Linked DNA regions of Arabidopsis thaliana. The protein of the gene in region 1 interacts with the protein of each later gene in a biochemical or structural test. Each region holds a gene or a part of one and is shown on either strand. Other genes may lie near its edges.

What was found. Proteins that work in one complex are often made in the same cells at the same time.
Region 2: the proteins of ATGRIP (region 1) and ARF3 form a complex in vitro, tested with the Arabidopsis thaliana proteins (2 studies listed by BioGRID).

What each region holds. Positions count from the first base shown.
Region 1 is NC_003076.8:26,403,437-26,412,992, forward strand, and holds ATGRIP (Golgi-localized GRIP domain-containing protein), read right to left. Parts: upstream 6,920-9,556; 5' UTR 6,646-6,919; intron 6,509-6,645; 5' UTR 6,453-6,508; coding exon 6,047-6,452; intron 5,958-6,046; coding exon 5,842-5,957; intron 5,665-5,841; coding exon 5,495-5,664; intron 5,384-5,494; coding exon 5,290-5,383; intron 5,132-5,289; coding exon 5,045-5,131; intron 4,945-5,044; coding exon 4,864-4,944; intron 4,739-4,863; coding exon 4,613-4,738; intron 4,287-4,612; coding exon 4,178-4,286; intron 4,086-4,177; coding exon 4,006-4,085; intron 3,814-4,005; coding exon 3,685-3,813; intron 3,598-3,684; coding exon 3,497-3,597; intron 3,326-3,496; coding exon 3,192-3,325; intron 3,107-3,191; coding exon 3,009-3,106; intron 2,949-3,008; coding exon 2,829-2,948; intron 2,700-2,828; coding exon 2,651-2,699; intron 2,539-2,650; coding exon 2,480-2,538; intron 2,335-2,479; coding exon 2,263-2,334; coding exon of another isoform or gene 2,257-2,262; exon of another isoform or gene 2,192-2,256; coding exon 2,144-2,191; and 7 more. Other genes in the region: ATSAC1B (Phosphoinositide phosphatase family protein), read right to left, coding at 1-30, 112-145, 230-286, 360-417, 530-624, 727-854, 949-1,032, 1,120-1,255; STR16 (sulfurtransferase protein 16), read left to right, coding at 7,121-7,209, 7,296-7,369, 7,433-7,557, 7,629-7,703; AT5G66050 (Wound-responsive family protein), read right to left, coding at 8,897-8,945, 9,022-9,061, 9,143-9,234, 9,324-9,430. UniProt on the Arabidopsis thaliana protein: Golgi matrix protein playing a role in tethering of vesicles to Golgi membranes and in maintaining the overall structure of the Golgi apparatus.
Region 2 is NC_003071.7:10,559,838-10,566,365, forward strand, and holds ARF3 (ADP-ribosylation factor 3), read left to right. Parts: upstream 1-2,850; 5' UTR 2,851-2,984; coding exon 2,985-3,087; intron 3,088-3,205; coding exon 3,206-3,244; intron 3,245-3,337; coding exon 3,338-3,400; intron 3,401-3,976; coding exon 3,977-3,995; intron 3,996-4,133; coding exon 4,134-4,245; intron 4,246-4,620; coding exon 4,621-4,668; intron 4,669-4,844; coding exon 4,845-4,975; intron 4,976-5,090; coding exon 5,091-5,124; 3' UTR 5,125-5,459; downstream 5,460-6,528. Other genes in the region: GDU4 (glutamine dumper 4), read left to right, coding at 1-112; AT2G24780 (uncharacterized protein), read right to left, coding at 5,844-6,002. UniProt on the Arabidopsis thaliana protein: GTP-binding protein involved in protein trafficking; may modulate vesicle budding and uncoating within the Golgi apparatus.

The sequences.
Region 1 (9,556 bases):
TTCCAATGGCTGTTTGAAAACTATGAAAACGTGATGCAGGGTTAAGGAAAATTGTCTGAAGTGATGATCCAGGAAAAAGATTTGAATAGTGAACTGATAGAAAAAGGATATTCCCTTGAATTACAGGAAGCAAGAACTGATCAAGCTACAAAATTAAAACAACCACAGGGTGATATATATTTGCAAGTACAGAAAACAGAGGAGTGAACTTGAACAAGAGTTCACTAACCTTATTATCGATAAGAACTTCTAACATATAATTGTTCCATAGAAATCTAGGCTCAGCCTGCCAATAAAGATGTAAATTAAAGGTTAGTTTGCACACAAACAAGCAACAAAAAGGGCGTATGGATGGATACCTGTCTCCACAAAGGAAGCAACTTAGACTCATCACCCAAATCATGCAAGCGCTGTGCACTGAAACAACAACATACATGATTAGCAAAATCTCAACTTTTTTTTTTAATCTCTTTTTACAATCTAGCATTTCCAGAGTTGGCACAAATTAAGAAGAAGAGAAATTATTTACGTGAGAGTCAAGTTAATTTCATATGAGAAGTAGAGACCAGTTGTCCTCTCAGCGACACTTAGCAGCCTAGAGTAGTCATCAGTCTCCATCTTTTTCTGCGAAAAGCGGTTCAGTGTTTTGATCGTTGAGGTCCATTAATTATTGTTTCTTGCTTGTCAGAGAGATAGATACAAGAGGGAAATGTAACATGGAGTCACCTGTTCTTCATGCGGGTTTTCAAGTGAATGATCACATGGAAGAAACTTGAGCGAATTAATTTTGTATATAGGATGTCCCAAAAACGAGCCAACAGATTCGCTCTCTGTCACAACTACTAAGTAGGATCCTGAAATCAAATAAGAAAATTTGCTCTTGGTTCAAATGAAGATGAAAACATTCACAAATAGATTAATTATTCGATAGGATCTCTGAAATTTCACCTGCCAGGAGCTTCAGCATCCCAACCACACCGAAAATGGAGCGGATTTTAGGGACACGCAAAGAGTTGCATTCTGCTACTTGATCTGAGACAGGCAAGAGGATGCATTACACATACATGCATAAGAGAACAAAAAGATTCCAATATAACGAGGCAAAAACAGGAAACACACCAATGAGCTTCATGGAGCCGTCAAGACGACTAATATCCAAACATGAAGCGGAGGAACCATCGGTTGGCTCGATGACGTACTGATCAGGGAATTCCCACAAACGCAAGCCAGAGTGTATCTTGAGCCTACTCACCATGGCTTCCAGCAAGAGGAAGAAGAACCAATCACCTTCTTCGTTACGAGATTTGAAACTAGTAGGCGAAATGAATTCCGCTCAATTAAAATGGCCTTCAAGGCAGTGAGAGTGAGACCCGTTCAAATTGATTCCGTACATAACGGTTGACCAATAACAACAAGTCGACGACCGTTATTATTATACTATCTTTGTAGTTAATTTTGCGTTGACTTTTTTAGTTTCATTAATTCCGATAATCAGCGGTTTTCTGCATGATTACAATAGACTCCATTAAAAATGGCCCAACAACTCAATTCAGTGGCTTATCCTTTCTTTACATCTGGACAAAAAGTGTTTTCTTGACTTTTAGTGTTCATTACACAAAAACGAAGGACTTAAACACAATGTCGTATGTATGTGTATGTATCTTGGCCCAAAAGAATGTGTCCAGTGCCCACCCGACTATGAAAACGAGAATCTTGAGAAGACTGATAGACCTGAACCCTCACTTGCCGGACTTGGAGTCGCCTCTGTTGTTGTTGCCGCTGTTGTTGAGCTATGGTAGGCTTGCTGACACTTCTGGATCTCCTCTGGACTGAACTGCAGCAACATCCCCACTACAGGTAGTAAAGCCTCCACTTCACCTGCAATTATCACAAGTTAATTTACCCCTAAAACATCTACTTCGTGAATCCACCTTTAATCTCCAGGTTTTTTAACCTGTTTCTAGCAGTTTTAATATCACATTCTTTAGGTATGTCATATCCACGCCTTCTCTCTTCTGTTTTCTTTCCATCTCCCTCAACTCCGTCTTTAGCACTGCTTCCTGTAATTTAGCATACCACCGGAAGTTTGAAATAAGATCCTAAGAAACTGGCAAAGCAACCAAACTCTCGTGTAATCACATACCTGTTGACTGTGAAGACGGTTTTCTCGTTCAAGCTCCTCGATTTCCTCCTGATTCAGAATAAACAGTTACTAATTGCAACATGTGCAGAAACAGATCAATGCAACCAATTCTACTACACCTGAAGAGCTAAAATATGGCGCTGTGTCTGTGCTAACTCTTCTTCTCTCTGAGCTTGTTGCCTTGCCAATATCTGAAATTTGATTATTATGTGTCATGATTAGCTCTCACTGATTTGTCCCGTAGGCCATAGCATTACATTTGAAGGAAATTAAGTTCTAGGATTAAAGATCGCTCCTTGCTCACACAAGCAGACAGCTAACATTACAAAATCCTACCAGAATCTGGTGCTCTGCTGCAGAAGTGCTCAAGTTAGATACATCCTGCTGTTGTGACTCTGAAACCCCGTTTAAAGAAAATAATAGGTTATTGATGACAGGGAACCCACTGATTCATTCATATAGGGAGCCCTTATTAAAAAAATATGGTATCAGGAAAACATCTTGTACCTGTGTTGTTGTTCCCATAGTGGTGAACCTGGGATGGAGATTTGTTCCACTTAATGCCACATGAAGAGTGAAAAGTTTCAGTGCAAATTAAATGAAAAGTTACTAGCGTAAAACCAAAGATAAAAAGGAGAAGTAAGGTAATAAGCAAAAAAAAAAAAAAAAAGAACCATCCACATACTACTGGTTTTGACTCCATAGATTTTCGAAGATTTGTCATCTCATCCACAAGTCTCGATATCTCTCGATCCTTCTCCTCAATGAGTCTATCTGCAAGCTCACGTACTGATTCATGCTCCTCCTGCAGGTATGTCAGTTAGACAAAAAAACTTTTTTATGAGTATAACAAAAAGTGATTTACCTTCATTCGTTTATTCCGCAGTTTGGCATTTTCTAGTTCTTTTTCTATACCTTCTGCAGGTGAGGCTTCATTTTGAGCGGTCAAAGCTTCACATCTTCCTATAGATTACTGTAGCCTTTTAGGAAGGGAATTTCAATTTCCAAGAACTAATGAAAAAACCGAATTTAGATTTGAATCAATTACGTCGCCATGTTTCTTCTAAAACCCGAAGGTCTTCTTCCCAAGCTTGTTTCTCCGCCTGATTGCGAGCAACAGTGGAGTCAAGCTTCACTTCAAGACTTTTGATCTGCTCGCTGGCATCTTTAAGTGCTCCAGCTCTGAAATATATATGAAACAAAAATAGCTCAGACGACCAATATATGTCTGAAGAACTCCATAACCAGTCCCCTGAGAACACCATTTCTCAGTTGTTTTCTCTGGCAAATTGAGGAGAATGAGCAGCCAACCTCCGGAATCAAACATGAAAAAGATTCAGTGTCAATATATACCTCTCTTCAAGTTCTTTCTCAAGGCTAGCCAAAGCACTCTGAAGATCTTGCTGTGCCCTATCCCTCTCTGCAGATACCAAATATACTTCTTTTTCAGCTTCCTAACACCACCCAAAAAGATAATTAGTTGGTAAGCACCTTGGCAACCATCTAAAAATATCTCCATCTTAAGATTCTAGATAACTTACCTTTAGAGCTTCCTCAAGAGATTTAATTTGTTCAGAGTCTTTAGCTGCAGCCAGCTCCATGTCCTTCTTTTGCAAAAGCGCGTGAGCACGGATCTTGTAAGAAGAGAATTCACTTTGGAGCCGGTTGATCTGTGAACAGTTACAAGGAATTCAATATGGTTAAATGAAGACTAGCTAAAGCAGAACATTCCTTAAAGCTCAAAATGGCTCTTTGATTCCATAATAATTCACGTTATGTGATTAAGAATGGATGACTAATAAATTCGTTCACCTAACCAAGGCTACAATAGTTTCCAAAAGAACCAAAAGAAAACTATGTACCTCTTCTCTTGCACCTTTGAGTTCCGCATCTTTTGTGCTTAGTATCTGGGTCTGCATGGACATTTCAGATCCCAGCTGACCTGACAATTTATATGAATGAAATGTCTATAGTCCATAGACAAAAGTAAAACATAACTAGATTAGTTCAACGTTTATGAACTCCGTCAATTACTTCTCATTTTAGCCACTTCGATTTCGGCCTGTAAGTAGTTGCTTTCAGCGATTTCCAGTTTAGATTTAAGGGCATCGCATGAAGCTTCCCAAGTCTCCTTTTCCTTTTCCTAAAGGAACAAAAAAAAATCATGGCTTCTATGAATTACAACAAAAGAAAATAGAGGAATTTATATGGCCAAACAAATAGAAACTCTAAACATGCTGTCTGATGACAGACTGACGCCTTAGATCATGTTTACAATTATCTATACGCACTCCTATATTCATTCCCTGGTTAAAACCATGCTAGTAAATCTGCTAAATGATGGAAATCATTTGACGAGTAGTATGCAAAACAATGTCTTAGAATATACGAATGGGCAACAATAACGAAGGACAAATGACAGTTGGCATCAGAGAGTCCTGCGAATCCATCTTTAAACATTCCACTTACATTCTCTGATTTAAGGTGTGCAAGCTCTCCTTTAAGAGTTTCTGCAGCAGCCCTTAGCCTTGCTGCTTCGCCAGTTGCAGCTGCCTCCATCTCTGCAATTTTAGATTCCTTCTCTGCAAGCAGTACCTAAAAGAGGTGTATACTTGGTGTGAAGAATTTATCACTTATTTCAAACTATTCTCTCTCGCTCATTTGAAAACCAAAGCACATCATCCAGTAATAGAACTAAAGAATTTAGTCAAAAGACTAACCTGCAGCGACGAAATGGTTTCGGCTGCTTTGTCCCTCTCAGATAGAGCATCTACGACCTGTGCTTCCAAACCCTCTAAGTTCTGTCAAGAAGGTGGAGAGAAGAGAAAACCTTGGATGTCATTAGCGGAAAATGGTGGCTCATAGCATATAAGAAGTAACACAATCGCTGATGCTGACTACCTTTTGATGCTTGGCTGACAACTCAGTAACTGCAATTTGCTTTCTCTCTTCCACAGCTTGTAATTGCTTTTTCAGGTCCTCCAGAATCTAGGATTAAAGCAAGTACGCATATGAAGCAGAGTATACAGAGCCATCCCTCCCCCCCCCCCCCCCCCCCCCCTCTCTCTCTCTCTCTCTGTCTCTTTTGTCTCTCTATTTTTCTATATATTGCAGACTAGTATTACAGAAAATGAAAGAGATCAAACCTGGTCCTTATCAAGAAGTGACTGTTGCAATGTCTCAATCTTATTTTCTTTAGGCTGCAATGAGCCACGTAGTTCCTCGATAGTATCCCTGAGCCTGTGTAAAGAGAAAACTCCAGTACTCAAATTCTTAGAGGTAGCTGGAGAAGTGGGAAAGGCGACATTCATTTTATACAATTTCTGTAAAAATTATCTTCGAATTATTTACTTGTTATTGGCACTCCTTAGTTGTTGCCTCTCCGCATCCATTGCTTTAAGTGCTTCATTCGCCTGTTGCCTAGTGCGTTCCAGCTCTTGTTGCATGGATGAGTGTTGAGAAGATGCTCGTTCAGCTGTTTCATTCACTTCCCGGAAACGGGCGTCGAGATCATCTTTTTCCTGAAGATAGCAATATAATATACCACTGAGATTAAGACAGCACATAGCAGCGAAATCTATATGTCTGAAAATGCAGCATAGAAATTCCGAAATAGTATAAGATGGTTTTTGAAACTCACAGTAGCCTCAAAGTGGCTAAAACAGAAAGCATTATAAAATGTAGAGAAAGACATTCACCTTTTGGATTTCTTGAATGCGTTGTTTAGCCCTTTTGTGAAGCCTGGTGAATTTGGCGTCCAGGTCGGCATATTTCTCGTCGCGCTCTTTGATTTCCTGGTCCAGTTTCTGTTCAACTACACCAACAATGTAATAGCACAAGTTGAGAAAAGGCAAACACTGGTTCCGGTCAATGAATGAGCAAATAGAAAAGATGGCTTCTGACCTTGGGAAAACTTAGAGGAGTATTCTTGGGATTTAGCATCAGCCTCAGAGTATGCTTCCCTTAGATGCTCAAGAGCTTGCTCAGCTGCAACTCGAGTTTGTTTTTCCACATCAATTTCTCTGCTCAATGATGCGACCTGTTCTTGAAGTTGTTTCAGCTGAGCAGAGTCCGCTTCCACTTGCTCAGCTTTCTGGAGAGACCTACCTTGCGCTACCTCATCCTTGAGTCCCTCAAATTGGGATCTGAGAAAGTCATTTTCTAATCTCAGTTCAGCAATCATTTGGAGTAGCTGATCACCATTTTCTGTCAGAGTCTCGTTGGAGGCATCATTTAACTCTTTATCTTCTTTGATCACATGGCTCTCCTCTTCTTCTCCAACCACATCAGATTCCTTGTCTTCGGACATCTTGGCAGAGCAGATGTCAGAAAGATGAACCCAGACACTCAAGAGAGCGACGACAACTAGTAAGCGCAAAATCGGGATTTGAATCAACAATCAAAAGAGAAAGGAGTCAAGTCGTGAAATTCGAATAAACCAGCAAAAGCAACGCAAGGAGAAGAGAGATTTGAATGTAATCAGTGCCAGAGAAGAAGCTTACCTTGAGGTGAGGGATTAGAGAAGAGTGTGGAGGCAGAGAGAGAGAGGTCACAAACAAGGAATCACGATTTCGAAATATTGGATCGGATCTCAACCCAAAGGTTAAAAACGTCGTCGTCTCTTTCCCGTCGATCAGTGAGACGGTAAAACGTTGATCTGATCGACTGACGAAGAATGGTAAGAATTGTGTAAAGGGTGTTTTACTAATGAATAATTGCATTCAGAAGCCTTAAACCTTTTGAAAATTCATCAAGTAAACCCAAGACGAGGTTAGCTAAAATGATGCCGTTTTGGAATGGTAATATGAAAATATGAAGGACAGTCCGAAAACAGCTTAGCCCATAAAGCAGCAACTTAGGCCCATTATGTATTTGTAATATATGGCCCAATTATAATCACTTTCCCAACTAATTTATATAAAATGAAATTATTGAAGTCTTTGTCCAGTCAAATATAATAATAAGCCATTGAAAAAAATGGCGGAGGAGAGCAGAGTCCCATCATCGGTGTCGGTAACAGTCGCCCACGACCTTCTTCTAGCCGGCCACCGCTATCTAGACGTCAGGTACCGCCCCACCTTTCTCTTTTGACTATTTCAATCATCAACATAGCATCATTAGGATCTTGATGTAATGGGGATGATGAATATAGGACTCCAGAAGAGTTCAGCCAGGGACATGCCTGTGGGGCGATCAACGTGCCTTACATGAATCGAGGAGCATCAGGTATGTTTTTATTTGGTTAGTTGATAACTGAGTGATGGATATAATTTTGTGATTGTGAAACAGGGATGTCAAAGAACCCCGACTTCCTGGAACAAGTCTCCTCCCATTTCGGACAATCCGATAACATCATTGTTGGCTGCCAGAGCGGTGGTAGATCTATCAAAGCCACCACCGATCTTCTCCATGCAGTAAGCTCCACCACAAAGCTCTTCTTTCTGACTTTTACTTTGTTGGTGATATATAATTTGCGAATTTGCAGGGTTTCACGGGAGTCAAAGATATCGTCGGTGGCTATAGTGCCTGGGCCAAGAATGGCCTTCCTACAAAGGCTTGATGACTCACCATTCACCAAACATCTTTCCTTATCTCTTCGTCTCCTTCTTCTTCAATAATGCATCCTTTCCGCATGTAATCATCAATAAATGACCCTCCTTTCTCTTTGCTGTCTGATGTGATAGCTTGGAGGGAGGGGCTCATCGCATCTTTTTAAAATATATAAAAATACGAGTGTGTGTTGATTGCATCGAAATCTCTATATATATAGTTTAAAAAAAAAATCAATTAGAAAGGAGAAAGGAGCATCCGATCAACGATTATATCTACAAGATTGTTACCTTAAAGGTCCATCTGTTCTTGGCAACAGACAATATATGTGTATATATTGAGTGATCGATGAGTACACAAAGACAACAACACCATATCAACAACTCGATCGTGTGTACAAAACAAGTGGTGTGACCTAACGAGGCAAACTTCAAAATACGAGAGAAGCGACGAGAGAGGACTGAGATATTGACACGGCTCAATCAGATGAGTTAGTAAAAGAGAATCTGAGTGAACCAGGCCAATATCAGAGGGACTCTCTCGGAAACATAGTGTATCTGTTTTGTAAAAGAAACAAGAACGCAAGTGAGAGAATGTCTGTAACTGTAAGGAGATTAAGAAGAAGAAGGGAGTGAATGTGCAACTGCAATTCTGCGAAGCATTTAATAACTCTGCTACTCTCAATGCACCAAAGCTGGGCCACCTCTTTTATTTTTCTAACTTTAACCCGAAAACCAAGTGAATAAGGGAGTGTTGTGTAACCATCGTTTCAGGGGAAATCATTCACGTTTCTTTTAACTTACTGCTTAGTCTTCCACAAGTAGACATTTATGAAGGCACAACAATCCACATCTCTTCTTTCCCACTGTATGTAACCGTCCCTCTTTCGTTTTGTCTGCTTCTGCCCTCAGTTTCTTTCTCCTAAATAATCTTCTTATCGCCAATTCAATAAAAATACTATACACACTTAAAGAAATGCATTTCATTTAGTCTTCTTCCATTTACATTTACACATTCCCTCAGGTTATTCATACATCTTTCATTTACTTTGAATACATCCTGCGATCCCATCAATCTAAGAGCTTCCTCTCAGGTACATGCGGTACCATCAATCTATGAGCTTCTTATATTTCTCTCTCCATACCCTTGAAATCCACCACATTATATCTACATCCATTTCCTTTCTTAGCTCCTATTCTTTCACTACTCATAGCTCTCAGGAGTTTCTACACCCTTATTATATACAACAGAGCTGCAACCAAAACAAGTTAATTATCAATGTCACTTCATTAATGCATCTCAATTATCACCAACAATTGTCTTCTCACCTCGAGTTCTGAAGGTTCTTCAGTCTGTCCCTCCACATCGCTGCAAAATGTGATACAAGAAAAAAATGAGGAGTCTGCAAAGCACACTGGATATAGATGCCATCCAGAACAGTTTGTATACCTGCATCGATGTACCTTTCCTCTTTAGACGCCAAATCCATATTCCTCACTAATTTAAGCTCTTCCGATAAAGGATCTGGTCCATCGGGAGCGCTGAACAAGAACACCCACCATGTGGTTAGCAACTGTGACAGAGTGAGACAGTGTAACTAACCCAGGAGATTCATTAACAAACTAAAAACCTGTCAAGGATAACATTGAAAACAGGCTTTGCGCTCTGCGGTCTGCCTCCATAACCAATTTTGATAGCCTCTTCCAGCACTATTGCTTTGTTCACATATATTGGAGCCTGAGATATGACAAACAAAAACATGTTATCGCAGTATTCAAAAGGAACAGGTTAGGATTCCTCAGTTTGAGAAACAGAGAACCATAAAGATAGTGAGTTTAACCACATTTCGAAAGCAATAAATTG
Region 2 (6,528 bases), on another chromosome or scaffold:
CGGTCACGAGGGTAGAATGGTAATTTTCAAGGAGGATGGTATTGGTGCTGGAGAGGAGAAAATGGGAGACAGAGAGAAAGCCAAAGAAAATGAAGAAACAACGAGTCAGTGAGCTTTTTTGTTTTCTTTTCTTCTCTCAGTCTTGTCTTTTTTTTTTTGTTGGGGAATTTTCCTTCGTGTTTTCACGGGAAATGTAAAATTTACTGAGAGAAAATTTTGGGTTATGATTAATGAATGTTTGCTTGTAATTTCCTATCCCCAATGGTGGAAAACTCGTTTTTAGTTTTTGTAATTCTCAAAAGTGTGATAGGTAACCTTTCTCATACAGCTTTAATACCAATCAGTAATAGAGTAAACTAAAACGGAATAACATAATAGTACTTAAAATTCTTACAATTTTATGTCATCACTAAGATCTACAAAAAAATGAATCATAGTATCATAACACTATGTTTGCCCAAAAAAAAAAAAAAAAGTATCATAACACTATTGATCATAAATTCAAAGCTTGCAATGTTTCGATGGAAACGTGATTCATCCCGTACACAAACTGTAATTTTATATACATTTTCAGAAACTAATGTAATGCATTAACCCTTTTGTATTACGTATATATTCTCACATTTTATATTTTGTAAGGAGATTCGTTTAGTTACTTTAATTATGAATTGTTATAATTGTGTCTCCTCCATGTATTTGTGTTACTTTCATATTTTCCTTGCATTTATATATTTTATTTACCATAGGATAGTTCTGAATTTGCTATCAACTTGGATATTTTAAATTAATTGAGACTCCATCTAGTTCACCGTCAAATTTTAACTATACTTGTTTAACTATACTTGTTATATAACGAGTGAATAAACTGGAAATAGTATTACTATTAACTATGAACTTACATTCGTAATATTCGAAAATATGTGCGTGAGTTAGTCTTGTCACAAGAAAAGGAATCATATTCTTTTTTTCATTAAACAAAAATTGGAAACACATATTATGGTATAAATCAAAAGATAATTCGATTACTTGCCCCATTTGCCTGCTTTACTTTCAATTTGATAATATCCCATCAACAAGAGTCTTGTTACATGACCAAATTTTCTTCTGTTCTCACGTTATTAAGTATTTTGAAGTGAAGTGCACTCCAAACAAACGTCTAAAACTTAAGGTTTGTATAATCCTCAATCAAAAACATTTTACAACTTATTTCTATTTTTTTATATTGGGGTCTTTTTCCCAGCTACTAATATACGATCACTTAAGTAATTTTTTGTAAAAATCATTAAAAATCCTAATAAACTCATTTGCGTAGTTCAATTACACACATACATATGTAGTAATATAAATATTATTTTCCGTTTTAAATTATCGTAAATGGAATGTCATTTAGAATTTTAATTTTATTCACCACAAATGTTTTTTTCTGTTTTAATATATTTGTTTGTTAAAATTTATATTTTCGTCGCTAATTAGTCCACTGAAATTATAATCCACAGGCTAGATAATCCACTGATTTCAACAAAGGTGAAAAAATTATATAACTAATATTTGTCCATTAGTAGTAGCTAATTAATTGAAAACGTTTGTTCTCTGAATCGAAAGAGCTGCATAAGAGAAAGGGGACACGTGTCAAAAACAGAGTTTAATATGAAAGCGAAGACAATGATTCTGTTTTGACTTATTTGTCATTTGCTGAGCTGTCTTTAGAGGCGCCGAGTAGCCGCGTCTCCCGCAAGAAAGTTCCAAAGCAATACTTCTTCTTTCATTGCATTCATTTCCCCAACTGTCTCAAACTTTGTGCCGCATAAGCAAAAGGTACAAATAAAATAATAATAAAAATAAAGGATGGCGAAAACAAAATTACTTGTATCAAACAAGAACATTTTGTTAATTTTTCCGAGTGAAAACATCACTTGATATGGATATGCGATTTTAGTTGTTGTAAGTTTCTCTAGCATAATTGATAATTCCTATTAACATCAATTTTGATATAGCATTAGGACTTCAATGTTTTTATTTTTAGGGTTTGTTCTTTTTGACTTCATTAGTCTAGTGGTACTTTAAGACCACTTTTTCACCTCACACATGGATGATCCAGACCTAGTCAAGCTAGGAGTGACTTTTATGTTTATATAATTTATACATGTTAAATTATTTTAGTTTTCTTTTTTAAAGGAGATGAATTTAATTCGGTGTGGATCCCGTCTCTAGAAAATATAGGGTCTTTGGGCTTGAACTTCCAAATATTCGAATAACAAAAAAAATTATTTTAGTTTTTAACCCAAAAAGAAAACATTTGCGATCAAATGTTATTGTAAACAACGCACACTAAAAAGACATTTACCCTTTTCGGTGAAGAGACACAGGGACAGCTACATGCGACCCAAAAAATGAGCTTACCCTCTATTTCACATATGTAAGAATATACTCTAATTAGACTCAGCATGTAGTATAAAGAAGGTGTTGACAAAAAAGCTCAAATAATTCGATAAACTAACAATGCACGGGTACTAATTAACAAGGAATTCTCATAAAATTGAAGGTAAATTTAAACAACAATAAGAGCATCCCAATTAGGTAAGAGATTTAGTTAAGTAATTGCGATCAAGGAAACAAGTACAACAGAAGTGGAAGTCTGTCTCTATATCACTTTCTTCCCTGATGCATAAACTTACCTCTTGTTCACAAACTTTGTTAACATTTTGATAATGCAATGAAATGAAATTAGAAATTCAAAACAAAAATAGAGAAAAGTACAACCAGTGGACTATAGTCCAATTAGTCAACCAAAGTAACAATGGGCCGAGCTGATAATATTTAGGCCCAAAAAAAGCCTCTGGACGAATCAGAGACACTGGAAATGAACGTTCTTCTTCGCACTAACTCTCAAAGAAGAAGAAAAGATCTGAGAGGTGGTCGAATGATCCAAGAGAAGAAGAACAATCTCTCTTAGATCGTTTGATCTGATCCAATCGAAGAAGAAGATGGGAATCTTATTCACGCGGATGTTCTCTTCCGTCTTTGGTAACAAAGAAGCTCGAATCCTCGTCCTCGGTCTCGACAATGCTGGAAAAACCACAATCCTCTGTAAATTCACTGCCTCAATCTTTCGCATTGTGTAATAGATTTGATATTTAGTAGCTAGGGTTTTTGATTCGATCGTTTTTTGAGTTGCGTTGATGTTTTTGATTCTCTGTGATTCCAGATCGGCTTCAGATGGGGGAAGTTGTCTCTACGATTCCGAGTATGTATCTAATCTCTCGATTATTGTATAGATTATGGATCTAGTTTATGTATCGTGATTTTACGAATTTTGGTTTTGATCTGATCTTTGCAGCTATTGGATTTAACGTTGAGACTGTGCAGTACAACAATATCAAGTTTCAGGTCTGGGATTTAGGTATGTTTTCGAAGAATGTGTTCGAACGCATTAAACTTTGAATTTGAAGTAGTAGAAATGATTTTTGGTATTATATGGAAGGGATATTCGAAATCTACAACACTATATAAGCATTAGATTAATCCAAATCAAACCATTTTCTGATGGATTCAGTTAGAGATTCTCTGCGTTCTTCTTTCTAAGTTGACTAGCTCCATGGTAGTAGATCTTCAGTGTCACTTTTGTATAATTGGAATGTTTGTCTTTTGTATGAATTAACGAATTCATGATCAGAATTTTCCTTGATTTGGAGTCCTTAGATAAGTTGTTGTCGTATGTGTCGTTATATTCGACTTTCTTGTTCCAAGTTATTACCTTTTCCAACTGGTCTTGATGAGATAGATGAAGTTCTTTGTATTCAAATTTGGGTGATAAAGAGTTCTGTATTATCACATCTTCTTCCTATAGTTTTTATTATTATTATTGTTTTGCACGTGTTGTATGTACATCTGTCTTGTTAGTTATATGCGAATGCTTTTGCATTTTACAAAATTGGTTCAGCGACACAGTACATTAACAAGAACTTTCCTATGACAGGTGGACAAACAAGCATCAGGTAGCTTAATGACCTCGTTTCTCATTTCTAGATATGATGAACATATTGCATCTACTGTGAAGGAATGAAGAACAGAAATGCTCCATCAAGATTATACTGTTTTTGTTTTGCCCAATTTTCTAATGGTATTTTTGACAGGCCATACTGGCGATGCTATTTCCCGAATACACAAGCAGTGATCTATGTTGTTGACTCGAGTGATACAGATAGAATCGGGGTGGCGAAAGAGGAGTTTCATGCAATTTTAGAGGTAAAGTACTGCTGAGGCTTCCTCTTCTTATACTGTTGTATTATTTTGTGATGGACTTCTTGCATCCAAAAGTAATTGAGGTAAAACGATGATGATGTATATCGGTAGTTGAATGGAAATACAATATTGGTTCAGTTTCTTGTTTAGGACTTGTTATAGATGCTTGTAAGTTGTATATCAAGTATTGTTAGCCTTCTAATAGGTGATACTGAAATTGAAGTATCTCGGTTAGTACTGGACGGAAAGAACAAGTGATCATTTCTCTCTGTAGATCTTGCTAGCTAATCTTAAACTCTCAGCAACAATGCTTACTTGAGTTTACCTCTGCCACTGTCAGCATTTAACTCGCACTATCTTTTCAACTATGTTTTATAGGAAGATGAATTGAAAGGTGCGGTGGTTCTGATATTTGCAAACAAGCAGGTTAGTAGTCTCTAAATGTTTGCTCTTCCGATTAGTTTGGGCTGATTCATCTGGAAATCTGTATTGGTTTCTGTTGCTAAAAAGCTTTAGTTTGTTTTGCATGCACAAGACACTTTTTTGCTGATGAAAAATCTATAACTATTTGGTCTGAGTTTCATTAAATCGACTTAATTTAGGATCTTCCCGGTGCACTCGATGATGCGGCTGTTACAGAAGCCTTGGAGTTGCATAAGATAAAGAGTCGTCAATGGGCAATCTTCAAAACTTGTGCTGTGAAAGGCGAGGGACTTTTCGAGGGATTGGACTGGTAAGCACATTCTGAAACCGAACCATTTTCTTGGTCCCATTATTGAAACACTGAACCCATTTCTTTATGCATTTCTTCTCAAATATTCTTCTCTCATTTCCATCTTGATCTTCAGGTTGAGTAATACATTGAAGTCGGGAAGTGGCTAAAATCATCGTCATACACCAATCTGTCACATTTCTCAAGAGTGTAACTTTGATCATTTTTACTTATTGGTTTGTTTAGTATCTTTTTTTTATCTTAGTTCTTCATCTTAAAGAGTTAATATCAATGACATGTTCACTTAATATTCTCTTTTTGTTGTTTTGTTTCATTCTGAAAGAAAAAACCCAACACAGATTTTTGATTGAGACCCATAAGGGGTAATATCATCACTTTTTAACATGAAATATTGAACTGATTCCAGACGAAACACTGAATTGGTTCCAAGTGGTGTTTTTGCCGACTTGGATTCAGAAGCTCAAACGTTTGGGGTTTTAGAAGTCCTAATTTATGTAATTTGTCTGCTCCTTAATTAATGATAAAATTGTTGACACTATTATGCCATTTAGTAGATAGTAAGATTTTTTTTTAATGTTTTCAAAGAGGCAAAAATAATTTGCAAGGAATATATAGAACTAGCAAGATACTAGCCTAAGCTATTTGATTAACTTTCCTGCTAATAATGCTAGTATGCTACCAAAACAAAACACAAGCGATTTGTGAAGCTCTTTCTTAAAGAGTCCGGCTCGGCGTTTAGAGAATGTAACTTGACGGTGGCTCTCTTTCTTGATCTTACCATAGAATCTTTTATATGGCGGGTGTTGAGCAAATTAACTTAAACAAATTTGTTTTATTATCGTAACTCAATAAAAATTACGATTTCTAGTCATAAACAAAAGGCTGTACATAGCATTAGGCCTGCTACGGATCCGGATATCCGGGTTTTTTGGAGTATCTGGATCCGTATCCGTATCCGGCGGATATGTAGTTTTAGGATCCGCATCCGGATCCGTAAACCTCGGATATCCGGATTTCGAATATCCATGAAAAAACCGGATATCCGCGGATATTCGAGATCCGTTTATTTTTGGGAACAAATTCAATTTCCTATTTCACCAACCAGATTGAATTCACCACCAAAAGAGATCGACGTGTGCCCGACATCAGACTTTGCAAGGCACATACCACCAAGATCTCGTCTTTAACGGTGTCCAATCTGCTCCTCCTCATTCATCTCCGCCATCGACACTTTGAATCCCATGTATCATCATTCCCGTAAGTAAACTTCCGTCCATAAATTTACGACGGTGGAACCGAGATGAATATGGTGGGGAGACGGTGATGAAGATTACATGGAGATGAGATGGAGATAGTGAAGGAAATGGTGATGAAGGAAACATTCACGGCGGCAGAAAAAATATGTTATGAAACCCTAATAGTTAAGTCCCAAACAAACTCAAATTCCATCATTTTGTCGTAGTGGGCTAATATTGGACTATTGGGCTTAACATTGATAATGTGTATTTGATTAAGCCCAGGATACAAATATAACTTAAGCCCATAATACAAAT